Linked DNA regions of Daphnia pulex. The protein of the gene in region 1 purifies or fractionates together with the protein of each later gene. This does not show direct contact. Links are inferred from orthologs where the notes say so. Each region holds a gene or a part of one and is shown in the gene's direction. Other genes may lie near its edges.

The links.
Region 2: the proteins of replication protein A 70 kDa DNA-binding subunit-like (region 1) and SWI/SNF-related matrix-associated actin-dependent regulator of chromatin subfamily A-like protein 1 purify together in Homo sapiens (affinity purification with mass spectrometry; 8 studies listed by BioGRID and IntAct, with this or other methods). This does not show direct contact. The link is inferred for Daphnia pulex from reciprocal best matches to the Homo sapiens genes RPA1 and SMARCAL1.
Region 3: the proteins of replication protein A 70 kDa DNA-binding subunit-like (region 1) and poly [ADP-ribose] polymerase 1-like purify together in Homo sapiens (affinity purification with mass spectrometry; 3 studies listed by BioGRID, with this or other methods). This does not show direct contact. The link is inferred for Daphnia pulex from reciprocal best matches to the Homo sapiens genes RPA1 and PARP1.
Region 4: the proteins of replication protein A 70 kDa DNA-binding subunit-like (region 1) and DNA polymerase alpha catalytic subunit-like purify together in Homo sapiens (affinity purification with mass spectrometry; 3 studies listed by BioGRID and IntAct, with this or other methods). This does not show direct contact. The link is inferred for Daphnia pulex from reciprocal best matches to the Homo sapiens genes RPA1 and POLA1.
Region 5: the proteins of replication protein A 70 kDa DNA-binding subunit-like (region 1) and TIMELESS-interacting protein-like purify together in Homo sapiens (affinity purification with western blotting; 4 studies listed by BioGRID and IntAct, with this or other methods). This does not show direct contact. The link is inferred for Daphnia pulex from reciprocal best matches to the Homo sapiens genes RPA1 and TIPIN.
Region 6: the proteins of replication protein A 70 kDa DNA-binding subunit-like (region 1) and DNA topoisomerase 3-alpha-like purify together in Homo sapiens (affinity purification with mass spectrometry; 4 studies listed by BioGRID and IntAct, with this or other methods). This does not show direct contact. The link is inferred for Daphnia pulex from reciprocal best matches to the Homo sapiens genes RPA1 and TOP3A.
Region 7: the proteins of replication protein A 70 kDa DNA-binding subunit-like (region 1) and replication factor C subunit 2-like purify together in Homo sapiens (affinity purification with mass spectrometry, with the first as the bait; 3 studies listed by BioGRID). This does not show direct contact. The link is inferred for Daphnia pulex from reciprocal best matches to the Homo sapiens genes RPA1 and RFC2.

What each region holds. Positions count from the first base shown.
Region 1 is NC_060017.1:3,019,243-3,023,839, reverse strand, and holds replication protein A 70 kDa DNA-binding subunit-like, read left to right. Parts: upstream 1-1,434; 5' UTR 1,435-1,558; coding exon 1,559-1,603; intron 1,604-1,665; coding exon 1,666-1,716; intron 1,717-1,780; coding exon 1,781-2,035; intron 2,036-2,105; coding exon 2,106-2,320; intron 2,321-2,382; coding exon 2,383-2,545; intron 2,546-2,607; coding exon 2,608-2,712; intron 2,713-2,778; coding exon 2,779-2,878; intron 2,879-2,962; coding exon 2,963-3,075; intron 3,076-3,142; coding exon 3,143-3,277; intron 3,278-3,337; coding exon 3,338-3,601; intron 3,602-3,659; coding exon 3,660-3,743; intron 3,744-3,805; coding exon 3,806-3,875; intron 3,876-3,943; coding exon 3,944-4,068; intron 4,069-4,132; coding exon 4,133-4,240; 3' UTR 4,241-4,420; downstream 4,421-4,597. Other genes in the region: ankyrin repeat and MYND domain-containing protein 2-like, read right to left, coding at 1-424, 511-650, 719-884, 948-1,130. UniProt on the Homo sapiens protein: As part of the heterotrimeric replication protein A complex (RPA/RP-A), binds and stabilizes single-stranded DNA intermediates that form during DNA replication or upon DNA stress.
Region 2 is NC_060018.1:6,032,729-6,037,117, forward strand, and holds the start of SWI/SNF-related matrix-associated actin-dependent regulator of chromatin subfamily A-like protein 1, read left to right. Parts: upstream 1-1,453; 5' UTR 1,454-1,650; coding exon 1,651-2,204; intron 2,205-2,272; coding exon 2,273-2,418; intron 2,419-2,495; coding exon 2,496-2,644; intron 2,645-2,703; coding exon 2,704-2,845; intron 2,846-2,915; coding exon 2,916-3,057; intron 3,058-3,132; coding exon 3,133-3,300; intron 3,301-3,359; coding exon 3,360-3,521; intron 3,522-3,596; coding exon 3,597-3,707; intron 3,708-3,760; coding exon 3,761-3,935; intron 3,936-4,000; coding exon 4,001-4,189; intron 4,190-4,259; coding exon 4,260-4,388; 3' UTR 4,389-4,389. Other genes in the region: uncharacterized protein LOC124188637, read left to right, coding at 1-83; uncharacterized Golgi apparatus membrane protein-like protein CG5021, read right to left, coding at 387-452, 512-778, 843-922, 981-1,135, 1,232-1,293, 1,369-1,407. UniProt on the Homo sapiens protein: ATP-dependent annealing helicase that binds selectively to fork DNA relative to ssDNA or dsDNA and catalyzes the rewinding of the stably unwound DNA. Rewinds single-stranded DNA bubbles that are stably bound by replication protein A (RPA).
Region 3 is NC_060024.1:8,493,015-8,497,350, forward strand, and holds the start of poly [ADP-ribose] polymerase 1-like, read left to right. Parts: upstream 1-1,246; 5' UTR 1,247-1,404; intron 1,405-1,487; 5' UTR 1,488-1,520; coding exon 1,521-1,634; intron 1,635-1,699; coding exon 1,700-1,844; intron 1,845-1,911; coding exon 1,912-2,063; intron 2,064-2,134; coding exon 2,135-2,346; intron 2,347-2,403; coding exon 2,404-2,617; intron 2,618-2,710; coding exon 2,711-2,793; intron 2,794-2,864; coding exon 2,865-2,990; intron 2,991-3,048; coding exon 3,049-3,147; intron 3,148-3,211; coding exon 3,212-3,372; intron 3,373-3,441; coding exon 3,442-3,599; intron 3,600-3,662; coding exon 3,663-3,729; intron 3,730-3,987; coding exon 3,988-4,195; intron 4,196-4,275; coding exon 4,276-4,336. Other genes in the region: uncharacterized protein CG1161-like, read right to left, coding at 183-326, 389-514, 578-808, 891-956. UniProt on the Homo sapiens protein: Poly-ADP-ribosyltransferase that mediates poly-ADP-ribosylation of proteins and plays a key role in DNA repair.
Region 4 is NC_060022.1:1,991,641-1,996,024, forward strand, and holds the end of DNA polymerase alpha catalytic subunit-like, read left to right. Parts: coding exon 1-115; intron 116-178; coding exon 179-450; intron 451-510; coding exon 511-624; intron 625-683; coding exon 684-864; intron 865-923; coding exon 924-1,529; intron 1,530-1,588; coding exon 1,589-1,728; intron 1,729-1,794; coding exon 1,795-2,009; intron 2,010-2,085; coding exon 2,086-2,350; intron 2,351-2,426; coding exon 2,427-2,607; intron 2,608-2,680; coding exon 2,681-2,783; intron 2,784-2,844; coding exon 2,845-2,914; intron 2,915-2,985; coding exon 2,986-3,120; intron 3,121-3,194; coding exon 3,195-3,311; intron 3,312-3,380; coding exon 3,381-3,474; intron 3,475-3,537; coding exon 3,538-3,689; 3' UTR 3,690-3,777; downstream 3,778-4,384. Other genes in the region: ER membrane protein complex subunit 4-like, read right to left, coding at 3,885-4,081, 4,148-4,265. UniProt on the Homo sapiens protein: Catalytic subunit of the DNA polymerase alpha complex (also known as the alpha DNA polymerase-primase complex) which plays an essential role in the initiation of DNA synthesis.
Region 5 is NC_060019.1:12,256,233-12,259,403, reverse strand, and holds TIMELESS-interacting protein-like, read left to right. Parts: upstream 1-1,160; 5' UTR 1,161-1,245; coding exon 1,246-1,360; intron 1,361-1,424; coding exon 1,425-1,497; intron 1,498-1,571; coding exon 1,572-1,770; intron 1,771-1,839; coding exon 1,840-2,241; 3' UTR 2,242-2,305; downstream 2,306-3,171.
Region 6 is NC_060017.1:7,798,623-7,803,246, reverse strand, and holds the start of DNA topoisomerase 3-alpha-like, read left to right. Parts: upstream 1-1,805; 5' UTR 1,806-1,846; coding exon 1,847-1,966; intron 1,967-2,070; coding exon 2,071-2,131; intron 2,132-2,202; coding exon 2,203-2,588; intron 2,589-2,653; coding exon 2,654-2,804; intron 2,805-2,881; coding exon 2,882-3,086; intron 3,087-3,178; coding exon 3,179-3,263; intron 3,264-3,330; coding exon 3,331-3,489; intron 3,490-3,565; coding exon 3,566-3,766; intron 3,767-3,822; coding exon 3,823-3,975; intron 3,976-4,039; coding exon 4,040-4,317; intron 4,318-4,380; coding exon 4,381-4,468; intron 4,469-4,535; coding exon 4,536-4,624. Other genes in the region: sedoheptulokinase-like, read left to right, coding at 1-1,149, 1,216-1,417. UniProt on the Homo sapiens protein: Releases the supercoiling and torsional tension of DNA introduced during the DNA replication and transcription by transiently cleaving and rejoining one strand of the DNA duplex.
Region 7 is NC_060017.1:4,126,034-4,130,175, forward strand, and holds replication factor C subunit 2-like, read left to right. Parts: upstream 1-1,397; 5' UTR 1,398-1,615; coding exon 1,616-1,692; intron 1,693-1,887; coding exon 1,888-1,999; intron 2,000-2,067; coding exon 2,068-2,125; intron 2,126-2,195; coding exon 2,196-2,346; intron 2,347-2,411; coding exon 2,412-2,443; intron 2,444-2,507; coding exon 2,508-2,587; intron 2,588-2,650; coding exon 2,651-2,797; intron 2,798-2,851; coding exon 2,852-2,917; intron 2,918-2,978; coding exon 2,979-3,059; intron 3,060-3,129; coding exon 3,130-3,243; intron 3,244-3,322; coding exon 3,323-3,439; 3' UTR 3,440-3,481; downstream 3,482-4,142. Other genes in the region: zinc finger CCCH domain-containing protein 4-like, read left to right, coding at 1-577; MFS-type transporter SLC18B1-like, read right to left, coding at 3,852-4,142.

The sequences.
Region 1 (4,597 bases):
TGATGCAGGAAGTGAGAAGATTGAGAGCTAGTGGAGTCTCCTCTTTTGTCTTGGACAGATTGACCAGCAACTGGCGGAAGATGGTCGTCTCCTTGAAAGGGAAAGTGCGGATCGACTCGCGGATGAAGTTGTCCATAAACTCGGGAAAACCATCGGATTGACGTTGCTTCAAAAATGCTTTAACATATTGATTTAATAACTCCAAAACGGTTTTGTCGGGGTGCTGCTGCTGCTCTTTGGCCATTCTTTCGACTAGGAAACGCAAATAGTGGTATTTAAGTGCGAGGATCTCGTTGACTTCTTGGCTGCGCTTCATCTGATTTTCGCTAAGTATCTCCAAGACGTTTTTCACTTTTGTGAGGTTATCGTAAAGCAAAGGAAGTTTTTGAATAGTCAACAAAAGGTGAACTGGATGCAGATTGACCTGATAAATCAAACAAAACAAAAAGTTCAAGTGCTTTTCCGTGGCAGAATAAGAAATGAAGTGATGTGTCTATTCAAGTGCACAACCTGCATCACAAATTTGTGCAAAGCTGGTGCAGCAGCTGGTGGCAATTTTGGCTCAGTTTGATCGCTAGGAGCTACAGTGTACTGCTCTATTTCTGAGCGTGGAATGAAATTGTTGATGATGGAAACAACTGTGTGATTCCCTGGTTTGCCAAAATAATTCATTTTAGTTTTGGATGATTTGTACAAACATTATGATTGACTAGCCTACCTACAAATGCAGCCATTTGAGCTGCAGTTCTGCCTACTGAGTTAACCACATCAGGTTTACAACCACACTGAAGTAATTGTTGACAAATATCCAAATTTCCAGACAGAGCTGCAAAATGAAGGGAAGTATACTTGTGTTCATGATGACCTCCATTGGCATCAGCTCCCTTCGAGAAAAAAAGTCAACTTTTCAATCAAATTAACAACATTGATAATATAGTTAGACTTACCAGGTCAAGGAGCAACTGGCAAATATCTTTTTTCCCTTTAAAAGCGGCATGTTGCAGTAATGTCATTCCATGCTCATCCTCATCGTCAATTTCAACGTCCCGGGATTTTATAAGTTCTTGCAAACCACTAGTATCATTGTTGTTAATCTTGTCAATAGCTTTAATAAAGTTTTCCGAAATCATTTTTCGAGATTCTTTGGCAATTAACTCGTTTTTGAAGGAAATCAAATAATTCAGTCACAAATTTTCATATAACGATATAGTTTCCGTTGTCGTCTGCAACTGTTGCTATAACAACCGGACATTTCGAAAAACAAAAAATCCAACAACGCCAAAAATGCGAATAAAACGAAAACTTATTTTTGCTTCGTATGAACCTTTATTTCAGAAAAAAAACTTTTTCATTATTTTTCTTCTTTATATTTTTAGTGGTCTTCATTGAGTTAAAAAGTTTCTTAAACATTCAACGCTGCACGTTCAGCCTTGGTTTCGTTTGTACCACTGTTGTTTTCCCGCCATCGCACTTCGTCGTCTTGTCCGTAAAAACTGCTTAAAAAAATTCAAGCACGTTGACTGAACGAAGTAATCCCCGTTAAAAAAGGTTCCGTAAAATGAACAGAAGAAATCACCCAGCACTAACCAGCGGCGCAATTCCGGTAATATCAATCATAATTTCGAATTTTTGAATAAAACTATAAATATCTTTATTTCGACATAGTCCATCATTGGGAATGGCCTGCACAATGAAACTCCAATTCTACAAGTTTTGGTAAGCAACGAGCAAGATTTTTTCTTCATTTGCAGCATTTTTACATTTTCTTCTCTTACAATAGGGTTACAAAAATCTTCAGGGAGACAATAATGACCGTTACAGAATTCTCATCTCTGATGGAAAGTATTCCTATGCATATGGAATGTTGGCAACACAACTAAATCATCTGATTGTGGATGGTCAGCTTGAGAACTTTACCATCATTAGAGTAAAAAAGTTTGTTGTTAACAAAGTTGCTACTAAGGCAACTGCAGGCAAGGACCAAAAGAAAATTATCATTCTTTTGGATGTTGAGCCAATTGTGCCTGGAAGTGAAGTATGTTCACTTTACTTAGTTTCGAAATACAAATAAGGATATCTCTTCATTTTGAACATTTTTTGTTTAGGTTGGAGAAAAAATAGGAAACCCTCAGACTCTTAATGATGTTGGAGAGGTTACTGAAGAGGCAGCAGCAAAACCTGCACCTTTAGGAAATGTGAACAATTACAATATGGGATCGAAGTCTGCACCACCTAACAAAACTGGTGGATATGGACAGCCAACAGAGAAGTCTGACATTATTACCCATCCGATTGTAAGCCTTACACCCTACCAAAACAAGTATGTTTGTTGAGAAATTTCAGTACAAGAAAAATTGAATCATTAACTTTGCTTGTTTGTAGGTGGACTGTAAAAGTGAGAATTATAAACAAGTCCGATATCCGTACGTGGAGCAATTCTCGAGGTGAAGGAAAGCTTTTCTCGATGGACATGGTGGATGAGACTGGTGAAATCCGTGCCACTGCATTCAATGCCGAGTGTGACAAGTTTTACCACATGATTGAGGTACATTTAATTCAAAAACAGTGTTTGAAGTTATTTATTTACATTGTTATTTTTCGTTGTAGATCGGCAAGATCTTTTACATTTCACAAGCACAACTGAAGGCAGCAAACAAACAGTACAGCAGTATGAGGAACGATTATGAAATGTCGTTCAACCAAAATACTACAGTATGAATGTTTTTCAATCGTCAATCGTACCAGCCTCAATTTTTTTTTCTTTTACTTATTTTTTAGGTAATTCCTTGCCACGATGATACATCAGATATCCCATCAATCTCCTTCAACTTTGTTCCCATTGATCAGCTACCTAGCCTGGACAAGGACAGTGTTATTGGTAAGTTGTCTTTTAGGTGCATTAACATTACAATTCTTCTATTTGAATGGTGCCTACGATATGACCGATTGACCGTGCTTTCAGATGTCATTGGTGTGGTTAAGTCAGCAAATGACGTCCGCGTTATCGTTTCCAAAACGACAAATAAAGAATTGAGGATGCGAGAAGTTCAGATGGTGGACAGTACCAACACAGAGGTATGACTGGATTCTTCGTTTAATTGTCGAGCCCAGTTAATTAATCATTCTTGTCTTCAAACATCAGGTTAATTTGACTTTATGGGGAAAAATGGGCGAGGAATTTGACGCTAGCTCCCAGCCTGTTGTAGCATTAAAAGGAGTGAAACTTTCTGATTTTGGAGGTCGTTCTCTAGGAACAGTCTCGTCTACTGTCGTGCAGGTAAAATCAAATGTAAGACTTTCTATTTCTCTACTATTCTACAGCGCATATTTTTAATAGATCAATCCTGACATGAATGAAGCTCACAAACTAAGAGGGTGGTACGATAACGGTGGCTCATCATCGGCCGCTTCTAGCATTTCGGCGAGTCGTGGCGCTGGCACTGGTGGTAGTGGTGGGTCGTATAAGACTTTCGCTGAAGCAAAATTCGAAAACCTGGGAAAAGATAAACCTGATTTCTACAGTGTTAAGGCTATGGTTGCTATGATCAACAAAGAAAGAGCGTTGTACATGGCTTGTCCCAGTGATGAATGCAACAAAAAGGTAAACATAAATATATAATAAAACAACTCATTTTTGACAATATTTGCGTTTCCCGCAGGTCATCGATCAAAACAATGGCCTCTATCGATGTGAGAAATGCCAGCGCGAATTCCAGGAATTCAAATGGCGCATGATGCTTTCGGTATGACAAAGATATTTTATGAAATCTATTTCTCTCAAAACAGCACTCGAAATTTGTTATAGGTCAATATCGCGGATGCCACGGACCAGCAATGGGTAACCTGCTTCCAAGAAACCGCTGAAACTCTTCTTGGTAATTTTGTTTTCGAACTAATGTTACGTTTAGCATATAATATTTATTTATTTGATTATAAATTTTAGGGAAATCCGCAGACGAGGTCGGTAGATTGAAGGATTCGGATAATAACGAATTTCAGAAAATTTTCGAAGAAGCTACTTTTAAGTGGTATGTCTTCCGCCTGAGAGTGAAAATGGAGACGTACAATGTAAGTCTATGAGCATTATGAATTTCGATCTTGTTATCTGTTGACGCTTTTACCTTTTCTTTAGGATGAAAGCCGCCTCAAAACAAATGTCTATGAAGTGAAGGAAATCAACTATAAAGAGCACAACGAGCGATTGATTCGAGAAATGAAAGAAATGGCTGCATCAGAATGAATGGATTTTCCCTTGCTCCTTATCTATTAAACTTATAAAAAACCTTCATTTTCGGATTATACAGGAACAATTCTTTATGAATTCCTGTTCTTGTGAATCAAATCGAGATCCCGGAAAAACCGTGTGTGTAACATGATAATAAATGATTTGCAAAATAAACATGGATATTACAAAAAATAATTTTTCAGACAACTGCAAATGTATTGTTTTTCGCAGCTCATGTGCAATGAAATATTTCAACCATCAAGAGAGGCAAAGATAGAAATGAAAATAAATGAAGATCACAGTGCAGCTCTCACTGCTCTACAATGAAGTGAAGAGGGAAAGAGGGGGGACCAGTTCAAAATTTTAACTCTG
Region 2 (4,389 bases), on another chromosome or scaffold:
GTCAGCCTCGAGTAGTCGAAGCCTGGAACAACTTTTTGCGCGTATTAGAGGAAACTCAAAATAATGCAAGAAAAGGAAACTAAGAAAATGTTCAGACTATAATTAGAATCTCAGGGGACCTTCGGGTGATTGCAATTTTTTATATTGGCTTTCTTTATTCGAGATCTACCAAACATAACTATTTTATCATACTTTTAATACACACACAAAGAAGCAAGTTTGTACGCCTGATTTTACTTAATGTTTCGTTAAAAATAAGCTGTAATACCAAGGTTTATACAAGAACAAAGAATGTATTGAACTCCGGGGAATAAGATTTATATTAAAATGAATTAACTGAAAATTGGAATATTAGTGGCTGCGATAGGGTGCGATACATGATTCGTTTAAATAATGTTGGTTGCAGAATTGACGTTTGAAGTTTGCGCTTGTCGGGTCAACATGTTAACCGCCTAAAGGAGAAAGATAATTTAGTTTGTTTTATCCAATGTACGACAAGAATTTGGTTTACCTTATCCATAACTTGCTGACGAAAGAATCCGTTGGCGTAATTCGAAACGGCCCCAGTTAGGTTTGTGCCTTTGCCTAACTTACATCGCAGATACCCATACACATTAGCTCCATTCAGAGAAAGAGCAATACAATCTAAAACTAGCCAACGAAAGCTGAATCTGAATATAGCAAGAATGAAGAGGATGGACCATACTAGAGGGAAAACAATTAAACCTATCCAAAATACTCTAGATTCGGCAGCATGCACTTTTCGTACATCACCTTCCTAAAAAAAACAGAAAAAATGTATTTGAAAAAATGTAAAAAATTATTTTTTCATCATGGTATACCTTTCGTGCCTCATAGACCCAGTGACTCTTGCCTTCACCATCAACGTAACTCCACCACCTGAGCCCTACCAAGATCCTTCCTGCAAATGATGTTCATAATTGAGTAATATTCAATAATACATTCATATGGTGAAATACCTGTAATATTTTTTACAGTCCAGAAGTCTAGAGAGAGTAGGATAACTGTGAAAACAAAACTAGTAACAAATCCATCTGAGAACCAGCCACAGAAAAGGTAAACAAGGAGAGCAGCTGCTCTGAAGCCAAAGTGGAAAAGAACTACATAAGGATGCCTATTTAAGTAAAAGATAGTGAGTCATTAATAAATTTAATGAGTATTATTTTTTCTGAAACCTGAAACGTCAACATCAAGATAGGATTAAACTTACCGGAACTGTTTCGGATTTTCTTCCTCTCCAAATCCAGGCGTGTCATCGTCAATTAACGCGGCCTTACATGACAAATAATATACATTTTAAATTGTTTTTAAATAAATGAATTTGATTAAAAATTGTTTTTAACTTACATTGGCAGCAGACGAAGCCATGGTTGCTGACGTTGACATAAAGAAGTTGCGTTTTTGGCCGCTTGGACTTGGTTTGTAAAGATTGCGCACAAGAGACGTAAGAAACTGGCAACGTTCTGTTATGGTAATTAGGTGTTTTTTCAAAGTCCTCACTCCCTTTGATGTTAGAGATTTAGTTCTAGTGGACCGATTAGCACGTGTATTTGCATAGTTAGATGGTTATAGAATAACACATTTATAAGAATTCTATTTCTTTGATATATTTATTAAACCTAACTAAAGATGCCTCTTACGCCCGATCAAATAAAGTTGATGGAAGAAAACCGTCGTAAGGCTATTGAAAAACGTGCTGCTGCAAAACAAACCGAAACGAATCAAGTAGTTACAAACAACAATAGAAGCAATTTTTCTGCTGGGAGTTCAGCTGTTTTAAGACCTCCTACCCCTGCAATTAACCCATCAGTTGGAATAAGTCCTTCAGGTGCTTCTTCGTTTTATTCAAGACCTCAATATTCGGGGGGGAAATCCACTTGGAACTCTCCAGGTTCTTCTAGTAAATTTCCACCAAAGAATGCTAACTCCGGTTCATCAGCCAGTTCTTCAAGACCTACGGCAACATTTCAGTTGATCTCAAGAAGAAAATTTTGTGTTGATGCACCATTTGACAATGAAATGATAGAGATATTTAAAAAGTTCCCCACAAAAAGTTATGATGGAGTTCTTAGAAGATGGACTTTTCCCCTTTCTGATCATCAAAAGTTGCTGGAGAGCCTTGATCCATTGCTAACAAGATTTCAATTTCAGCCATTGCCAAAGTTTGTTTTGGATATTTTTAGGTAAAAAGATTGCATCCATATACTTTTCAAATAAAAGGTGTAATCAGGATTTCCCTTTTAATTTACAGTAATGCCCCATTTGAAAAAACGATACCTGAAGTTGATATAAGCAGCATAGACCCAAAATTGTACGAGTCTCTACTTCCATTCCAAAAACAGGGCATTTGCTATGGAATTCATTTGCAAGGAAGGATCCTAATTGCTGATGACATGGGTATTCTTTTAAATTAATCATTAGCTAAGTTTCTTCCTTTTTATTGTATTTAATTTCCTTATGTCTTCCTTTTCTAGGCTTGGGGAAAACTCTGCAGGCATTAGGTCTTGCACATTATTATCTTGCTGATTGGCCTTTGCTCATTTTAACACCATCTTCAATGAAATTTGCCTGGGATGAAGCAGTTAAAGTATGGTTACCAAGTGTCCCATTACATCATATACAAGTATGTGAAAAGACAAAAAAAAATGAAATGTTCATTAGATCAACATTACTTTTTAAAAGGTTATTTGCTCAGGAAAGGATTACATCGACAAAGAAGTTTCAGTAACAATTTGCTCATACGACTTGCTTACAAAGAAACTAGACGAACTAGTAGCAATGAACTTCAAAACCATTATATTTGATGAAAGCCACCTCGTAAAAAGTATTATCATTTTATTTTTTAAATTTTTGTTTGAGAGTTTTTTTTTTTAACTACCAAGTTTTAATAATAGGCGGAAAATCAAAACGAACTACCGCTGCAAACTCTGTAAGTGCTGAAGCAAAGAGGGTGATTCTTCTATCTGGGACTCCGGCATTATCTCGCCCTGAGGAACTGTATAGCCAGCTACAGATTTTAGAGAGGAAACCGTTTGGGTAAGGAACTTTGCCATTTATTCAAATTCAGGAGTTTGAACTGTAGTCAACACAATTTGCTATAATGATGGTTAGACACTTCCATGCTTTCGGATTACGTTATTGTGAAGCCAAAAAAACAAAATTCGGATGGAATTATGGTGGAGCAACCAATATGAACGAGTTACAACTAATCCTTGAAGAGAAATATTTGATAAGACGTCTTAAAAGTGAGGTTCTTTCACAGCTGCCAGCAAAACAAAGGTAATAAATAGCAACAATGATAAAATGATGAGTAATTAATTATCAATTTTTCATTTTAGGCAAATGGTTGTCCTTGATCCTAATGCTGTCAAATGTCATTCGCCCTCAATGGATACGTTGGCTAAAAACATGACAAAGGAACATTCCAAACCAATGGAAAAACGGGGTGTTCTACTATCTTACTATTCCGAAACGGCAAAAGCCAAAAGCAAAGCTGTGTGGTAATTTTTAGAAATGTAGCTACATTTAAACAAAATTATACTTATTTTCCTGTCTTTCCCATCTGTCTTTTCCAGCGACTATATTGCAGACTTATTGGAGAATGGCAAGAAATTCCTCTGTTTTGCTCATCATCAATGCTTGTTAAATGACATTAGTCGGTGCATTGAAGAAAAATCTAAAGCAGGGTAATAGACCTTATAATTGAATTTTATAAATTTTAATTAACGTTATTTTAAAGTTACATTCGGATTGATGGATCGGTCTCTTCGGACGAGCGGAAGAAGTTATGTGATGTTTTTCAAAATAAGGAAAGTGTTCGGGTCGCTGTGCTATCGATCACAGCTGCAAACACTGGATTAACTTTGACGTCAGCCAATCTAGTCGTTTTTGCTGAACTGTTTTGGAATCCCGGTGTATGCTAAAAAAAATATTAGAAAGAATTCAGAATTTTACGTAAGCCGTTATTGATTTCATACAGGTCTTAACTCAAGCTGAAGATCGCGCTCATCGTATTGGTCAACGGGATAGCGTCGTAGTCCAATATCTAGTAGCAAGAGAAACTGCCGACGATTATCTTTGGCCCCTTGTGCAGAACAAGCTGGATATTTTGAGCAAAGCTGGACTCAGTAAAGATAACTTTCATGAAGCGGATACTAGATATCTCTCCGTAAATTCCGACGAGCCCCTTCATTGCATTCTATTTCTATCCCTTATTTATTTATTTTTTAATATTTCAGAATGCCAAACCGGCCCAGGCTTCCATTATTGATTTCTTGGAAGAATTGTCGAGTGAGGATTTGTTGGCACTGGATGAAGCGGAAAAAAACTACGGCGAACCGGAGAGCAAAAGGTCTAAAGCAAACTAAG
Region 3 (4,336 bases), on another chromosome or scaffold:
CTACTAATGTATCCTACCAAGTTACATTCCCTCTGATATTTTTCAATGAAAAAAGAATCTTAAACTCTACGATATGAGACTTTAATTTTTTTATTTCCGTTGGTGAATGAAATATTTGAAATAAGAATAAGAATAAACGCGCAAACATCTACAGATCATAGAATTGGAATTTAGAAAAGTGATTAGTTAAGAATAGTGTGTCGATCATAAATATGTCGACGTTGTTCTTGAACAGTTTTCTTCCACTTATCAGTAGTTTGGCCAACACGGTTGAGCACACCTGCTCCACTTGCCCTTAAAGGTTGAGAATGGGTTTCACTTTCATCCTGTAGGATAAATTAGTTAAAAAGATGATTGAAGGAAGAAAAGGGAGAAATTTATAGAATACCTCTTCATTATTATGTTCTTGATATTGTGTAGTGGTTTTCTTGTTGAGAAGGGGATCAAGACAAACAAGAAACAGCATGTATATGACTAGTAGAGATATTATCCAGATAACAATAATTACAACAACCTGAAATTTAAAAAAATTTATATTAGAATAGTCTACAATACATTATGTCAACAGTTTTTTTGCCTTGATTGTTGTTGTGTTCCTGCTTTCGTACTTGCATTCACATCGTGGACAAAATTCTTTTTCCTTTCCTTTGATATCATCCCCTACCCTTGGGAGCACAACATTTGTACAATCACATTTGTTAGGTGGAACATTTTCAATGTAAAGTTTTCTATGTGACTGAGTTCCGTTTACTACGGCGGTATCTGGACAAATGCACTTGCATCTGACATCCTCATACTGTGCATTCACCTATTAGGACAAAAACAAACAAAACCAAAATCATTAAATTTCTAAGCAATGTTTTCTTAATAGTAAACATAAAAATCAATACATCACTGATGAATGAGAAGATGAAAAGGACGAAAAAAGAAAGAAAGAAACTCTTTCGAAGTGTCATAATTGCAGCAAAATCCGATACTGATTTGTCGGAAACAAAACAGCTGACAGACTGTCGACCACAGCTTGTGGCGCCAACTGGTTTGCTATTTAAAAAAAAAAAGAAACATTGTTTTTGTTCAAAGAGGAAATGGGTCGTTAAACATGTATTACAGCAATAAAAATTTAAACGTTACTGTGGAATTGAAATTTAATTACTTATTCTTTTTAGTTCTAAATAAACTTTTCTCCATTTTCGCCACTTAGGAGCCCCCATCTGACAACACTGTTTTGTTCCTAGCGCGCCATCTCGAAATTCTACTGTTACCTAAAAACGTGCCCAACTCTGTCGGCTGCGAAGTGCGAACTGCGAAGTTTGGAGGACGTTGTACTCGAAGTAGTGGAAAAGATTGTGTTAAAAGAATCAAGAATTCAAACTATCTGAGTGCACTGGAAATTGGAATATATAGGTATGGCCCATTTCAATCTCATTTAAAATTATGAACTGCTAATGCTAATTGTGTTTTTTTTTGTGATTTTTCCGAAATCCCAGAAATCGTGGGACGTTCATTTTCAGAAGAAAACGATGGCGGATGATTTACCTTTTCGAGCAGAATATGCAAAGACGGGTCGAGCTAGTTGCAAGAAATGCAAAGAAAACATTCCTCAAGGCACTCTACGACTTGCTGTAATCTTTCAGGTAACATTTTATTTTTTATTGTTTGGTTCTGGACTTTGTACACTAGTACAGTATTGTTGTTTTAGGCTGCCAAATTTGATGGGAAAATGGTTTCGTGGTACCACTTTGATTGCTTTTTTGAAAGGCAACGGCCCAAATCAGCTGGTGACATTGAACATTTTGATCAATTGCGCTGGGAAGATCAAGAGAAAATTAATCAGATGCTCAAAAGTAAAACATTACTAATATTGCTATACATTGTATTTAGTTGATTTCTAACTATTTCCTTTTTCCAAAGAAATCAGTGAAGGTGGGATTGCTGAACCAAGTAAAAAAGGAAAAGGCAAGGGGAAAACAGCTAAAGTTGCTGAACCCTTTTCTGATTTTCTAATTGAGTATGCAAAATCTGGGAGAGCTGCATGTCGAGGCTGCTTAGAAAAAATTGCAAAAGTATTATAATCATTAAGTGCAAGTTCTAAAACGATCCATGTTCAAACATGTCTATAATGTTCAAATTGTAGGATGAATTGAGGATATCAAAGAAAGGATACGACACCAAAGGAGGCATGAGACATGGACAAATGTTGGATATGTGGTACCACGTCAAATGTTTTAAAGAGCGACGAGAAGAATTAGAATTTGTTAGCGGAGTGGATACAATCCCTGGATTTAAAGATCTAACTGCCGACGACAAAAAAGTTCTCTCAAAAGAACTCCCTGCTCTTTCCGCTAAGTATTGACAAGAATCGAAATTTGGAAAATCATGTATTATAACGGTTTCTTTTTTCAGCAAACGAAAAGTTGACGGGGATGCTGTCGACGGACCTTCGGATGCAAAGAAGATAAAGAAAGAAGAAAAAGAAAATGAACAGCTCAAGGAAGAGATCAAGAAGCAAAATAAAATTCAGTTTAAATACAGAGACCAGTTGGAAACTCTGACAAAACAAGAACTCCAGATTCTGCTGGAATACAACGATCAGCAAATTCCTTCTGGAACATCTGAAGTACTTGCACTTTTTATTAATATTTTTATTTTCTTCTGAGTGTTAATCAATATGTCGCATAGTTAAACTATATGCAGCTATTTATCTTTTTAGATGTTGGACCTTCTTGCCGATGTAATGGCGTTTGGAGCTTTGCTTCCATGCAATGAATGCAAAAGTGGACAGTTTTTCTACAAGTGATTAAAATAATAGAAATTTCAAGTCGGTAAGCCTTACCTATATAGATTTACTTCTTCTTCTACAACAGGAGTGGCATGGGTTATCAATGCTCTGGAAACATGAGTGGCTGGACGAAGTGCCCCAACTCGACAACAACTCCCGAAAGGAAACCATTCAAAGTTCCATCGGACCTCTCGGAAAATTACTCATTTTTGTAATAAGGCTGTTGTTGCCATACATTAAGTTACTTTCTAAACTTCATTCTTCTATAGGAAAAAGTACAAATATGTTCCCGGACAGAGGGTAATCCCAGCGCTAACTCGCACTATTCGTATGAATCCAACCGAAGAAGTGAACGTGAAAAAAGAAAAGTAGCTATTTACTCAACTAGATAACGTGCTAGTTCTGTCTATTAATGTTTTCTTTTTCTTTTAGATCCGATTCGAAACGCCCACCCACACTAGAAGGCTTGAAATTCATTCTTGATTCCAAGCTTGAAAAGTCTAAAGAAAAAGTCGAAGCTGAAATAAAAAAATTACTAGGTTCTGTAGGTTCGCGCGTTACCGAAAAAATTGCAGCCGTAATTTCTACGAAAGGTTAGAAATTTGAGTGGGTAGTTTCTCTTATGAGATTAAGCCTTTATATGTGGTATTACTGTTTTACAGACAATTTAAAAGAAAAGGATTCAAAGTTGAAGAAAGCGTCTGAACTCGGTATTCATGTTGTAGACCTTAGCTTTTTGGATGCAATCAAAGCAAGCACTGGCGAATCTGCCTCATCCATTATAACGAAGAAAAACATCGCACCATGGGATTGCCACAGTGTAAATTTTTTTTCTTTTATTGCCCTAATTTTTGAGATTTTTTAAAAACTGTAATAAATCTAGATCGAGAAGCGTCTTGGTTTGGACGAGTCGGGTGCCACGAAATCTTCTGGAAAATCGAAAGGCTCAGGTTGGTTGGACTGTTTATTACTTTTAATGTTTCCCAGTAAAAACTGTAGTATAAGTATGGGGGAGTCATACGCTTTAAACTTGCAAGTAAATCAAGTTCAAGGTCACAACTCAATCCTAAATTAATTGAGTCGTCTGATGACTATGAAGGGATCCAAGTCTGCCCTCATAGACAGATACGCGACTAACATATTTGTTGATTTATTTCACGCTAAAAACGAAGCTGAATCTCGTAACTAAATTGTGTTTTCGTTTGCAGAAAAATCTGGTTCAGGCATGTCCGATAAACTGAAGCTGAAACTTAAAGGAGGAGGAGTAGTTGATCCCGATTCTGGTTTGGAAGATAAAGCACATGTCCTGAAGACGAAAAATGGTCTGTACAGCGTTGTACTTGGGATCGTTGACATTCAAGGTGGAAGAAATTCTTACTACAAGCTTCAAATTCTTGAACACGACAAAGGAAACAAGTAAATTGGCTTCGCTTCCCCCAGTGGCAATTGTAGATAACAACTATAATTTTTTTTTTTTTTTTTTTTTAATTCGACAGGTGGCATGTATTCCGTGCTTGGGGTCGAGTTGGTACAACGATTGGAGATACCAAGCTAACT
Region 4 (4,384 bases), on another chromosome or scaffold:
GTCGTCAACAATCGCACTCAGCAAGTGGAAATTGTCGCCATCAGTTGTTTGATACAAAACGAATTTCATGTAGACCGTGCTGCTCCTCAACCTCCGTTTCAACAGCATTTTTGTCGTAAGCTACAATTATGGAAACGATTGAATGAAGATACATGTTTAAAAAAATCAATTTTCGTAGTTGTAGGCCGTCCATCTGAAGAACCTTGGCCACTAGATCATCGCGATACCATGAAAACGACAAAACTAACGAAAATAGAACTAGCCGAGAACGAACGAGCCCTGCTTAATCTTTTTCTGGCCAAAATTAACAAAATCGACCCCGATGTAATTGTCGGGCACGATGTAGCTTCCTACGACTTGGACATACTTCTCCATCGTTTCACCCAGAACAAAGTAGATCAGTGGTCTCGTCTGGGCCGACTACGTCGCACCAATATGCCTATGTCTAAGGTTTGCTTAGACATTAGATTAACACTCAAGTAAGAATAATAATAATAAAAAAATTTAAAGGGTGTCAGTCGCAGTCATCTTGTCATGAGTGGGCGTTTGGTGTGTGATGTGAAGATTTCGGCAAAAGAACTTATACGCGCAAGGAGCTACGACCTCGAAACGCTGTGTCAACAGGTTTGATAATTGAACCACACCTTATACATCTCAATTAATGCATTGTCTTGTTCAATAAGGTTTTACATTTAAACGGAGTTCGCCCAGATTTGAGTTCAGATTCTGTTAAAAAGATGTACTCGACTTCAACCAGTCTGTTGGGAATGATAGCCATTACTATGCAAGATGGCGCGAACACACTAAGATTGATGTATGAATTAAACGTCCTTCCCTTAGCTTTGCAAATTACTTCGATTGCAGGTAATTCGAAGGAATCGATTTTAATGAAAAGAATTATGCAAATTTTTCTAATATTTTAGGAAACTTGCTTTCTCGAACTCTTCTGGGAGGTCGTTCAGAACGCAACGAGTATCTATTGCTCCATGCATTTCACGAGAAGGGGTTTATCGTTCCAGATAAGCAGGCTTTTAAAAAATCAAAGAAAGGAGAAGATTCTGATCCTGAGGATGTTTCGACTGAAAATGCTAATCGTAGCAAGAAAGGTCGTCGGAAACCAGCCTATGCTGGTGGTTTGGTTCTGGATCCCAAGCGAGGTTTCTACGACAAGTTTGTTCTTTTAATGGACTTCAACTCGCTGTACCCGAGCATTATTCAAGAATTCAATATATGCTTTACCACTGTCGATCGACAAGTAGCAACTAAAGCAACTGAAGGACAAGAAGAAATTCTTCCCGACCTACCTGATCCGACGTTGCCCCTTGGCATTTTGCCTACTGAAATTCGAAAGTTGGTTGACAGTCGACGTGAAGTGAAAAAGCTCATCAACGATAAGTTATCTAAGGATCTTTTACTTCAGTATGATATCAGACAGAAAGCATTGAAATTGACGGCAAACAGCATGTACGGCTGCCTGGGATTTTCCAATTCACGTTTTTACGCCAAACCTTTGGCCGCGCTTATTACATGTAAGTTACATTTCAGCTTTAACGTTATGCATTTTAATTTCCATTGCATTTTTCTGTAGCCAAAGGACGTGAGATTCTACTGCAGACTAGGGATCTTGTCCGTAAAATGAATTTGGACGTCATCTACGGAGACACTGATTCGTTAATGATAGATTCTAATTCAGTTGACTATGATCAAGTCATGAAAGTGGGTCTTAAGGTAACCATTATCAGCAGAATTTATTCCTAAATGTTATTTTATTCAATTGTTTGTTGTTTTGTTCAGATTAAACAGGAAGTCAATAAGTTGTACAAACACCTTGAGCTCGACATTGATGGGGTATTCCAGCGCTTACTTTTGCTGAAGAAAAAGAAATACGCAGCCGTTACAGTTTCTCAGGTGATCCGTGATAACAAAAAAGAAATGGTTACTCAACAAGAGGTCAAGGGTCTGGATATTGTACGAAGAGACTGGTCGCAGCTTGCTACTCGGGCTGGAAAGTAAATATCTTCAGTATTGATTCTTTGGGCTAGCGACAGCATCTATATTTATTTATTACAATTTGGTTTGGTCCAGGTACGCACTGGAACAAATATTAGGTGATTTATCGGCAGATGAACGAATCGCTCGGATTCAACAAAATTTAGAAGATATTCGTGATGGATTTCAGAACGGAACCATTGATCTCTCTTTGTTAGAGATTACCAAACAGCTAACTAAGAATCCAGAAAATTACCCCGACGCAAAAAATCTTTCTCATGTCCAAGTTGCAATCAGGACAAATTCCCGGGGTGGTAAGAAACTTGTACAAGGCGATACAGTTTCGTTCATCATTTGTCAGGTATTTAATGACTCGATTGAATTGCCAATGCAATAAAAACAAAGTTTATAAACATATGAACAAACTTGTGAAATAGGACGGAAGCAATATGGCCGCCACTCAACGAGCGTATTCCATGGAGGAACTCAAGATGCCAACAAATGGGCATTTAAAGCCTGACATTCAATATTATTTGGCACAACAAGTTCATCCAGTTGTTTCTCGATTGTGCGACCTTCTAGAAGGAATTGACGCTGTTAGAATTGCTGAATTCCTTGGTAAGTTGTCATTGTAATTATTTAAAATTTTGTATGGTGAGACCGCGAGAGTTAATAAATGGTATTTGTGCAGGCATCGATGCTTCTGGATATCGATCGACACAAGCAGCCAGCAACGAATACGAAACTGGTAGTCCTCCGGTGACTGACGAAGAAAGATTTCAATCATGTGAAAAGTAAGACTCATAAAATTTAATCAGGAAAATGGATCTTTGACAAATGAATTTCAACGTCTAGGTTTTATTACCAATGCTCTGACAAGGCTTGTGGTTTTGAAATGTCGATGGACAACGTTTTCCGCAAAACGGTATGTAGGATATGTTACCTGCTTGAAATGATTAAATTTATCAAGCTTTATTATTGGTCGATGTTACATAGGACGACGGCAACATCGAGTTTGCGTTGTCTCGGTGTGGAAATCCCAATTGCAAGAAGACACCATTTAGTGCGGAAAAATTTCTCGTCAACCGTTTGACGCATACCGTTAGAAAGCACATTCAACTTTATTATGCGGTAAATAACTCGGATATATTGTGTTAGAAATTTTATGTTAACTACTTTGTTAATGAAATAAAATAAATAAATAGGGCTGGTTAGTATGTGAAGACAGAAGTTGCGCTACAAGAACCAGGCGCATACCGTTGAAGTCCACAAATACACATCCCGTTTGCATAGGATGTGGAACCAGCAACATGGATCCTGAGGTATTATTTTTTCGTTGCTTTATTTTGCTTTTGAGTTTTAGAGACATTAATACTCGTTGATGATCACAGTACAATGATTTGGATCTATACACTCAACTGTGTTACTACCAACACATGTTTGACGCATCCAAAGCCATCAGTCAGCTTCAACCAAGCGAACGAGGTATTTTTATTTTCACTACATATTGTTCTATCTTTCATTCACTTTTCTTCTTTTTTTTTTAAGATAAAGTCAAATTGGCGTACAATAACTCCATGGATAAAGCTTATAAGGCTCTCTTAAATAATATCAATCAGATTCTTTTAGAGAGTGGATATTCACAGGTAAACCTTGCTGGTCTCTTCTATGGTCTTAACCGCCCGAAAAATGAAACATAAATATTTTACTAATAGAATGTGACTAGCTAATTTTTAGTTTCGCTATAAAAATATGAATGTTTTGAATAAATTACGTGTCATTTTTACAGCTGGCTGTAGCAACTTGTACAATTTATGATTTAAAGATGATTTGGTGTACTGTATTTTTCATTTCACTTACAAATGTGAATATTTTAATGAATTAAATAATTAATCTTAGAGCAGAATTTGTCCACCTCCAGAATATTCAATTCTCTGTTGAGGATCAATAAAAGCCAACCAATCTGATGAATGAGTAGGAAGGAGGCCCATGGATTGGCACTTGTAAAGAGCAAGCCCCAGTGCAACCAACTGGCCCAAGATGTAGACTAGGATTTGTCCAATTGCCTGGGTTCCCTCCAACATCTTGAAAGCTGAAAAAAAAATTATACTGTATTTAAAAGGTATGACTTGTTTGAATAATAGTTGTGAAAATATACTTTGGTTCATGCTGAACAACGCACGAATGGGCCTCACAAACATCATGCCAACCATCATAATTGGAAATATGGAAATGGAACTTCCCACCATGTACATCATGAACAAATTCATAGGTACCTATTTCAGAAACAGACAAATTTACATTCTATAGACTTATTAACCTTTAAAAGGCACAAGACTGAACTTTATCAAATATTCGAACAGAATAATTCTTTCAAATTACAATTTTTTCCCTT
Region 5 (3,171 bases), on another chromosome or scaffold:
GCCATACTAAAGAAAGAAAAAGGAGGGTGTGGGTGAAGCCTATGAGGTTCCAAACGCGCTTAAACTATTCAGATCTTTTTTTGCTCTAGCATAGCAAGCATGGCTAAGCATAGTAAGTCAAAGCGTTCTCGTAAGTCGAGTTCGAGTTCAAGTTCCGACTCTGACTCATCTTCGAGTTCCGCATCATCATCTAAATCTTTTTCAAGCACCTTTTCAGACATTATTAAATTAAAGTCGAAAAGGTTTGAAGTTAGCAAACGTAAGTCGTCGGTCCTCGCCAATTGGATTGTGAAGGGCATAGGTGAGAAGAACCTTAAGGCGGCTAGAGAGGCGTACAGGCCTGACGTCAAACGTGACAAAAAGGCTAGTATCAGTGCCTCTGAGCTGTTCACGAACCCAAAATTGGACGAGACTTTTTACGCGGCCCTTAAATCTACAAAGAATTCCAATGCATCGATGCCCAACATTGATCAGCTGGAAAAAGTGTACCGGAAACAGACGGACGTCGTCCTGGACATGGCCAAACCTCTTCTTTTTCTCCTTGAGAGGAAAAGTAAGAGAAGCGACAAGGACACCAAAGCATTAAAGACGCTGTCACTTCTCTGGGCCCATCTTTTCCGTGAGATTACCCACTCCAGACGTCTCAACATCCTCACCCAGACTCACCCAAACCACATCGGCTTACTTTCCCGTGCAGCAGAGAAGCTCCCTGTTGGCGGCGAGGATCTTTTTGGAACAGAGTTTTTTGTCACTACGTTTTATTGAAACCGCCGCAAATATAATATCGATAAGTGATCTGACGTTATGTTTCAATAAAGCAAAGCGGATAGGAAGGGGGGCCACAACAGTAAACGCATCCAGCAACGATAGGAAGATGGCTTTGAATTCGTTACAAATGGGTCTTTGACGAAAAGCTTCATATCTCGTCCATTTAATTAAAACTCAAACGCATTTTGAATTTTTAAATGAATAGCTGTCAAAATAGCTGTATTTTTAAGAAATCAAGCGTCTTTTTTTCAAGAATCAAGTTTCAAAAGAATTGAAATTTCAAAATGGTTTATTTCGTTTCCCGCGAGAATTTGGGTTTGCGTCATGCCACGATCGGATCGATTAATAATAAATCGATTTCATCAGAAACCGCACACAACCCCGCAGTTTACTACATCCATCCCGCATTCTCTCAACCCCAAACTTTATCCACTCCACTCCACTCCCGGCCCAAACGAATAACAATTTGAATTTAACATGAGTGATCAAGAAGTTGATGATATATTTGGAGAATACGAAAAAACCTCATACAGTGCCGAAGAAAATGATTCAAACTCAAAGAATGGGGAAGTAGATGCTGATAAAGGAAAACGTAAGTGTAATTAGTCTTATGAAAAATAAGTTCCAATCTAAAGCCTACATTATTTTCATTATAGGGGACAAAAAGTCAGAAACAACCAAAACACGTAAATTAGTAAGGAGTCAGCAGTTAAAGCTTGATCCAAACAGGTATTACACCTTTATTAATTCACTTTATTTTATTACTTTTTATATTACAATCAACATTTTTATTGGAATAACAGAGTATGTGGTCCAAGAGGAATCACAGCTGTCATACAGAATTTTAAAAATGTAAAATTGCAAGGGAAAGGTCATGAGAAATCAGATCTTGAAACGGTTCTCTCTCAAATGGAACACTGGGCTCATCGATTGTTTCCTAAACTACCATTTGATGATTGCATTGAAAGTGTTGCAAAACTTGGGAATAACAAATCTGTGCAGGTATTATTAATCTAATTTGTCTGTATTTGGTTGAACCTACATTAATTGATGTTATGACATGTATGATAGGTCTATATGAAACGATTTCGAATGGGAATGTTAGATACTGAACAAGAAATCGAGGAAACTTTGGAAAACACAGATGCACAATTTGACAACATTACTGAAAGAGGAACAGATGTGTTTAGTACTGTGATGTCGCGACCTTCGCAGTCTCTGACTCATATATCTGAAGATCAACAGAGTAGAATGGCTGAAAACAAAAGAAAAGCTGAAGAAAAACGGAAATCAAGATTGATGCTTAATACTTCCAATTTAAATGATACTTGTTCAAATGAGAGCTTTACCTCTAAAATATTGCCAGAGTTAAATGCTACAGTGGATACTGTGATATCTGAAACTACAGCTGAAACTAATGAAAACAACTCTGAAATTTTGGATATTGACATGTTTCTTGAAAATTTGCCTTAGCAGTTTGATCCCACTTTCTCTTCTCAATTGTACTTTGAAATAAAAATGTGAAGTTTGTGGAAAACTTTGTTGAATGTTCAGTTTCTTCATAAGTGAATTATTAAATAATTTACCAAGATCCCTAGAGCAACAAGATTCGTCTAATCTTATAAAAACGTAAGCAACGAAATTTCTCACGAAGAGGGGAATCGATTCTTGTATAGTTAGTACAATCACTCTAGGCCAAAATAGGGATTAACGTCAAAGTGAAATAATTGTTTTAAATGAGTAGTAATTCCGTAAAAACTAAATAAGAAATATTTCTTGATAGAATTTTCCATTTTATTGAAAATAGGGAAACAAAGAAAAAATGTAAATAAAACATGAGAGATACAGCCGAGCTTTGGACCCTATAGACCTTCTTTCCTTTTTTCAGTTCTTTGGTTATCGACCTACTCTTCCAAGTTCCAACTAGGCTGCTGGCTGCCGATCGCTATTTTCCCTTTCAAAATCGCTTCAAAAACACTTTTCCGTCTTTATCCCCCCAAAATTTATCGATACCCCGCCCTGTCCTTTTTTGCCGCTACGTTTTATTGAAACCGTCGCAAATAATATCGATATCTGATCTGACGTTCTGACGTTATGTTTCAATAAAAAAAACCGGATACAGGAAGGGAAACCACAACAGTAAACGCATCCAGCAGGCAGCAACGATGCGTTGATGGCTTTGAAATCGTTCCAAATGGGCCTTTGACGAAAAGCATATCTCTTCCATTTATAAAAATATTCTTCTAGATACTGGCAGAACGAGTGCTAACCTATATTAATTCGTCATTTGCTCTGCTTAGGTTGAATTACTCATAATCGGATCTTCGTTGGATTTATTTTCTTTGCCGGTAGTAGCCTACGTGCATCTTCGTCAAATGATATCCTTTTTAACTTCATTTGAAT
Region 6 (4,624 bases), about 4.8 Mb from region 1:
TTCTGTTAAAGTCAGCGTTGTAGATATCCATTCACGCAAAGTGGTAGCCAAGCAAAGCAAGGACACACAGGCCGGCGAAGGAGCCGAACAAGATGTTTCGAAAATCATATCGGCCGTTCATAATTGCATCGGTCGGATTCCTAGAGATTTGCTCAAGAATGTTACAAAGATCGGCGTCTGTGGACAAATGCATGGTGTTGTGCTTTGGAATAAGGAAACCGCTTGGACCACATCAAGCAGTGATCGCTTTGAATTGGGTAAGGGTCCGTTTAGCTCACTGTACACTTGGCAAGATTCTAGGTGCTCCTTGGAATTCCTCAGCGAAGTTCCCAAACCAGACTCCCATTTGAGAATTGCATCAGGATATGGATGTGCCACACTTTTATGGAAGCTGAGAAATGAGCCAGAAGAGCTTTCGCTTTACAGCTGTGCAGGGACCATCCAAGACTTTCTTGTCTCCATGCTTTGTGACCTCGACTGCCCTGTCATGTCCATTCAAAATGCTGCCAGTTGGGGTTACTTCAACACTCAAGACAAGACGTGGAATCTAGACATCTTGAAAACTGTCGACTTCCCCATCCATCTTCTCCCGAAAGTAATGGATAGCGGATCCGTGGCGGGTACCTTGTCGAAAACCTGGTGCGGCATCCCGCGTGGAACGCAAGTGCTTACCGCCTTGGGGGACATGCAGTGCTCCGTGTTATCCACCCTTGCTAACGAGATTGCATGCACGGCCGTGTTAAACATCTCGACATCTGCTCAACTTTCTTTTCGCATGCCGGCCGACTTCACTCTGCCGGACACGCAATCATCTATCGAATATTTCCCGTATTTTGACAACCGCTATCTGGCCGTCGCTGCTTCGTTGAACGGGGGCAACGTCATGGCTTCTTTCGTTCGGATGCTGCAGTCCTGGATGCAGGATTTGGGCTTCGGGGTTCCGCAGAGCTTGATTTGGGATAAAATGCTGACCCTGGTGAAGCAATCAAATTCAACTGAACAAGCCATGACCATCATTCCGACCCTTTTTGGCGAACGTCATCTATCCAGGTTGCCCGCCGCCGAAGTATCCAACATAAATTCGGGAAATATTAGTCTCGGCAATGTGGCGAAAGCATTATTTGAGGGACTCATCACCAACTTGCACAAGTAATAAATTATCTTCTTTATTGCTAGTTTTCTTGACGGTTTGATTTTTATGTTTTCACCAAACAGCATGATGTCCACCACTCTGCTGGAACAGTACGGAGTTACCCAGTTGGTTGGAACCGGATCTGCCCTTAGTCGAAACCAACCTCTTCAACAGCAAGTTGCCGTTCAATATAAAAACATTCCATTTAAAACCGTGCAAGAAGGAGATGCATCTTACGGAGCAGCTCTGGCCGCTTTAAATACTCCACGAACGCCCACGGATTGATAAAACTAAATCAATATTTTCTATAGTCGTTTACCAGCATACGTACTTGCCATTATTTGCCAAACAAATTATCAACATTTTATTATTAGAATATTGCAACGCAAATAAGCTTGCCTTTTAAGTCATTTTAGAGACGCAACTTTACAACTTTTGTCAGTTCACCACTGGATTTTCCACATCTATTAATCTATAATTCTATAGTATTGTTTTTTAAATTTTATTTCAAATTATTTTAATGTTTTTGTGCTTTGTACAATTCTTTTCTCTTAAAATAAATGATCCACTCTTGCCTAAACAAGTAGTTTTTGTCTTATAATTTTAATTTTTAAAAAACTTAAATTAGCTTAAATTTTTTAAGCGACGCATTAGGTTGGCGGAGAGAAGAGGCTTCCATATTGGCGGGTGATCTAACAAAAGGGATGGGAAGTCATGTTATTATTTTCTCATTTCAAATTGTCGGGGATTAAACACGTTTCTTTGAATCGTTTAGAGTTTACTAGATGTTGTAAAACAACTGCCGTATCAGCAGAGTCTTGTAAAATGGTCCAGGTAACATGTCGCAAGAATTGGTATCATCCTTGTACGAATGATGTTACTATTTCCTCATGGGTATTGAACGAAACGTTCGTCTCAAATTCGATGTTTATCTGTAGGTGCTTAATGTAGCAGAGAAAAACGATGCTGCCAAAAATATTGCTGAACTTCTTTCTCGCGGTAATACTTCACACAGTCACAATGCTTAAGCTGCCAAATGTAATAGGATTATATGTTCTTCATTACATTAGGTCGTGCAAATCGTAGAGAAGGCCGAAGCAAATTCAACAAAATCTATGAGTTTGAACATAATCTTTTCAACCAAAATGTCAAAATGGCAGTTACTTCAGTAACTGGTCATCTTCTATCTTCTGACTTTGTTGGAAATTATAAAAAGTGGCATGGGGTTAATCCTGTTACTTTGTTTGAAGCTCCAATTCATAAATTTGTTGCCGATGACTATCAAGACATCAAAAGAACTTTGGAGGAAGAAACCAAAAAGAGCAAATACCTGATCATTTGGACCGATTGTGATAGAGAAGGTGAAAATATTGGCTATGAAGTAATCACAGTATGTCAGGCAATCAAGCCTAGCATTCAAGTGTTCAGAGCAAAGTTCTCTGAAATAACATACCAAGTAAAAGGCTAACTATCTTAATGAAATTTACAATCTAATTCCATTTGTCTAATTTTATTTTATAGTCAATTGCTCGAGCACTTCAAAATTTGGGCCCCCCTAACAAAAATGTCAGTGATGCAGTGGATCTTAGAATTGAGTTGGATCTTAGAATTGGTGCTGCATTTACAAGATTTCAAACTCTACGACTTCAAAAAGTCTTCCCAGGCTCACTTGGTAAGTGGATTTGTTGGCTGTATCAAGTCTACGACAAATAAATTCAACATTTCAATAATAATGTTTAAAATTTGTAGGCCAATCTATGATCAGTTATGGTTCGTGTCAGTTCCCAACTCTAGGCTTTATTGTCGAGCGATATAAAGCCATACAGGATTTTGTGAGAGAGAATTTTTGGAAACTCAAAGTTGTCTGGGAGCTCAATGAGGAAGAGCGCGTTGAATTCCTTTGGAAAAGACACCATTTGTTTGATCAAACAGTGGTTCAAATACTCCTTGAAAAGTATTTGTTATTATTATCAACTAGCATTATCAACTAAAATTCAAGTGTTATTAGTTTTGATTAAATTTATATTACTATGATATTGATAAAAGATGCCAGGAGAACCCTGAAGCTGAAATAATCAAAGTTCAAACAAAGAATAAAAGCAAATGGAGACCTTTGCCTTTAGACACTGTTGTATGTGAAATTTTTTTGTCTGGTCTATTTTTCCGCATATAATTTTACATCACGATTTATGTCATAGGAACTTGAAAAGCTAGCATCCAGGAAACTGCGAATCAATGCCAAGGAAACGATGAAGATTGCCGAGAAATTGTACACTCAAGGATTCATCAGTTACCCACGTACCGAAACAAATATCTTTCCCAAAGAATTGGACCTGACTCCTTTGGTCCAGTGTCAGGTATATCATGACAAACTTAACTATTCGTGTTCTTGAATTATAATCATATTGGTTACGCTAAAATATTTTGCATTAGACGGTTGATCCTGCTTGGGGAGGATTCGCTCAACGCGTTTTGGACGAAGGGCTGAACCCTCGCCAGGGGAAGAAAAGTGATCAGGCCCATCCTCCCATTCATCCAACAAAATATGCAGGAAATTTAAATAATGAGAATGAACGCAAACTTTACGAGTTTATCGTTCGCCATTTTTTAGCTTGCGTCAGTAAGGATGCCCAGGTATGTTGAGGAATTTATTTTATTTCCACGTTCCGCTAAGTTTATGGTTCTTACAGGGTTACGAAACGGTGGCCGAAATCGAAATTCAAGAAGAAGGCTTCGTCGCCAGTGGATTGCAAATAGTAGCAAGAAACTATTTGGAAGTATATCCGTACGAGCGCTGGAGTGATCGTAGTCTTCCCCAACTCAATGAAGGCCAGCGCTTCATCGTATAAAACTTAAACATTTCCAGGATATTCCGGTCAAATACTAATTGTTGTTTGCCTTTTATAGCCGACATCGATAACCATGGATGAGGGAGAAACTAGTCCACCTCAACTATTAAGTGAAGCTGATTTGATTTCATTGATGGAAAAACATGGAATTGGTACTGACGCCACACATGCTGACCATATTGAGACGGTCAAATCGCGGCAGTACGCTGGCGTACAAGGCGACGGACGCTTCTTACCTTGTTCATTGGGTATGGGACTCGTACAGGGTTATGACGCCATGGGGATCGCGCTTTCAAAGCCAAATCTCAGAGCTGAACTCGAGGCTGATCTTAAAAGGTTGGAAAAATTAAATTAAAACCTAACCCCGTCCTAGTATTAATTGCACATTTAATCTTGCAGAGTTTGCGATGGAGAAAGGAATCCGAATGATGTCTTGAGAGAGCAGATTGAAAGATACAGAAGGGTGTTTGTACAAGCAATGGAACAGGTAAACTTGTTTTCACGAATGGTTGCCATTTCAAATCAAGTTAAAATAATTACAATAACCACAATAGGTCATCAAAATCGACGAGGCTCTTTCGACATTCTTTAATGAGGAACGACAGGAAGCACCACCGATGATTCCTGAGGGAGGACCAGATGC
Region 7 (4,142 bases), about 1.1 Mb from region 1:
TCTCATACGAGTGCAGGCCAATTGGGCTCATTTAGATCCACGCCAGCAAAAGGGAAGTGCTTTTGTACGTGATTTTACAAGCACCGACCCTCCTGCAATACCACTCGGCCCGGCTAGTCCTGATCCTGTTCCCGTTGCAGCTCCCATCCGGCATTATGAGCCAGAACCATCAACTTACAGCCCCCTACGAGCGGCTCCAAATGATCCGCGGGCTCGGGATCCACGCCGTGTAGCTGCCCCACAGTCACATCAGACGTCGATGCTCCCAGATAAGCGAGGCATTTCCGGAGGTGTTGGACTACTAGGAGCTGCTCCACCGGGTATGCTTCCTTTACTACCGAAAGGAAGTTCTCTAGATATTTTGCCGCAAGAAACGTCTTACGCTAACTTCCGGAACGTCAACCCATCTTACGGCGATCGGAATGCTAGTGATGAATTGAATCAGCCATCACGACAGGTCGAAAACCGTCGGGATCCGCGCCAACGGGATCCACGCCAACAAAAGAACTCGCCAGCTATTGCCGACTCGTCGGAGAGATCGTACACCCCTCCTCCGAATGAGCGAGTCTTCCGTTAAGCTCTTATGATTTATATGTGGGACGCTCCAATCGAACTTGTGTATTTTGTTGAGTGAATTAGTTGAAAGGGTCTTGACATTTGCTTAAGAATATTTGGCTGAACCATTTCTATACTTGGATTGTTCGGAACTGTACAGCGATATAATGTTCTACGCTTGATTGGATCACAATTCCACCGTGTCTCATTTGTTTGATATACACATAATCATTATCCGATCAACGATTATGGCATTGTTTTTTCAGTCCTCTGATGAAAAGCCATTATTTCATTTCATACTCGTTTTATCCGCTAAATTACCAGGATTTTTCTCGATTTAATATGTTCATTTTTGATGTTGATAACATGTATTGGATCCTGTAGACTTAGATAAGCAATCTGTACAATCCGTGAGAAGGTAACCATACACTTTTATTACTACCTACTACTTTTATTACTGCACCAAATTGCGTTTCTATCTTGCTTTCATTGATTTTGGATTACGTATGATTCTTGGGACTCCCAAGACGGACGTCCAAGGTTTTGGTTGTTTGAATCGCGCTCTTTGCTTCTTACTGTCACGTTGCCAGGTTTCTAGAAAGAAAATGTGTGATCGAAGAAAGAAAAAATTGTTTGGCAACAGACATTTCCCGCCAAATTATTGGTTTGTTGAAAGTTGAAATGTCTGGCCAGGGGAATGTGAAAAACCAAAATATCGTAAAATTTTGGTGTATTTACCAATGGATCTAAATAATAACGAAAAATATATTTTTCCTTAAAAAAATTGTTTTACGACTATTTAAAAAATACATATTACTTCATTTATTTTTTTCGAGAGTAGTTAGCAACACTGCATGTGAAGCACTCTTCTGACAGAAAAATAGAAAAGAGCGGCTGAGAGTTCAGACACGATTTACAAGAGTTAGCAGCTAACATATACATAACCTTCAGTTAGTATATACTTGAAATCAGAATAGTGCTTTCAATATTTCAAATTCTAAAGCTAAATATAAGATAAGCCATTTTTGAGTTCTTAACTAGAAATTATAGTTGTCATAAAATGGAAGTTGATGGAGCATCAGATACAACATTGGTTGATTCCTCAAAAATTAGTGGAAGAAAGGATAATATGCCATGGTAATTGTTAGTTTTCACAGTAGTTAGACAAGTGAACAACAGTAGTCTATCTTTGGTAATTGAAAATGATTATCAGTATAGATACCTTGACTTTCATTTTTCATTACAGATATTTTCACGTTGAAATAGTTATTCACTTCATTCAAATTGTGTACATGTTTTATTCGTTACAATGTCTGTCTTATTGTGTTAAAGGGTTGAAAAATACCGCCCTACAACCTTTGGAGAAATTGTTGGAAACGAGGATGCTGTTGGAAGATTAGAGGTGTTTGCAAGAGAAGGAAATACTCCAAATATCATTATTGCTGTAAGTAAAGGTGTATTTAGTCATTTGAACTCTCAAGTCTACAAAATGTTTTATAAACTTTTTTTCAGGGTCCTCCTGGTGTAGGGAAAACCACTACAATCCTATGTTTAGCCCGCACTTTACTTGGTATTGACTTGTTTTATTTTTTGTCAGTGATATAACTCAGATTTAATTTTCATAATTATAACTGCTATAGGCCCAAACTACAAAGAGGCTGTCTTGGAACTGAATGCATCAAACGAAAGAGGAATTGATATTGTGAGAAACAAAATCAAAATGTTTGCACAGCAAAAAGTTACTTTGCCTAAAGGCAGACAAAAGATTGTCATTCTGGATGAAGCAGACAGGTACTAATCAAATATTGCTGTGATTAATTGTATTAACATTAAAATTTGGTTTTATTTCATTAAAGCATGACTGAAGGCGCTCAACAGGCTCTCCGACGTAAAGTGAAATTTTAGAATATTTTAGAATATTTACTTACTTTATGTTTTCGTTCAAACGACAGGCACAATGGAGTTGTTTAGTAAAACAACACGATTTGCCTTGGCCTGCAACACGAGCGAAAAAATTATTGAACCTATTCAGGTAGGCAATGACATCCATTTTTATATTTATTCTCTCATTATCATTTTTATTCTCATTCTTTAGAGTCGTTGCGCCATGATTAGATACGGGAAGCTAACTGATGCTCAAATTCTTCAAAAAATGATAGAAGTTTGTAAATTAGAAAAAGTCAGTCATACTGATGACGGATTGGAAGCCATTGTTTTTACTGCGCAAGGAGATTTGCGACAAGTGTGTTAAATATTACATAGTTAGAATCAGGTTTGTTAACAATTTTACTTTTAGGGTCTAAATAATCTGCAGTCAACTGTGCAAGGATTTGACCACGTAAACAGTGAAAATGTTTTCAAAGTAAGCTATTCATGATCAAGACATCTATACATATTCTTTTAATACTTTGTCATATTAACAGGTATGTGATGAACCTCATCCAATGCTCATTAAAGATATGATTGACCATTGCGTGAAGGGGAAAATTGATGAAGCGTATACGGTGTGTATATTACTAGTTACGATAAAAGGAATAATAATTTTGCAACTCGTTGTTTAATTTTTAAATGCAGATCATGTCTCATTTGTATGAACTGGGTTATGCGGCTGAAGATATCATATCAAGCGTGTTTCGAGTTTGCAGAAATCATACCATTCCAGAATACATCATGCTTGAATTTATTCAGGTAAGTTGTTCAATGTTTTCTTTTTTACAGCTTTGGTCGTGAATTGAAATGTTTTGGTTTGTGAATCTTTCCATCAAAGGAAATTGGTTTGACCCACATGAAAATTGCCCAAGGAATGGGTTCTTTGTTGCAGATGTCAGGCCTTCTTGCGCGGCTATGCAAAAAAGTTATTGCTCCTGAAAAGCTATCATATTGATTTCCTTCATTCTCTTAATTGTCAATAAATGCTTGCCGAAGACTGTAATCTTTTTAAACCTCCGTTTAAAGATGTGGAAGTTGCTTTAAAAATACGTAAGTTTGAAACATGCTTTATTAATAATGTTTATTTTGATTCTATTTTGCGTTCCACTTCAGTTTCAGAAACTCAAGAAGAAACGCAGGTTTTGATAACATTTTTATTGAAACCAGCCCTGAAGGATAATTTCAGAAAAAATCTCGGTTTGTTACATGGGGTTTTCAATCCATTTGTCTAAAAAACTAAGCTAATAAGTCGAGATTTGTGCAGATTTTACGTAAAAGCAGAACTGCTGTCAACCAAAAAGGAAAAATCTGTCATTTCAAAAATCTGTTATTTTCAAAATACTTCAAAAGAAACAAAATTATTTACTTTAATAAGTTCCGTATGTATGATTAGAATCTGAGTTGGAAATGAGCTGTTCGTTTTCGCCGATGATGACATCATCGGAAGCGGAAGTGACTCCAACTTGCACGACTTTGGGTAGACCATCTTCTGATAATGAGAGCTGCGCATTGGAAGTTGCGGCTTTTGATTTAGCAATGGATGTTAACATATTTAACAGCAATAGTAGTGCAACTGCCAAATTCAATAATCCGATAACCGTTATAGCCAGGGGAAAATCATATGCATCAACTAATATACTGCCGACACATGGACCTAG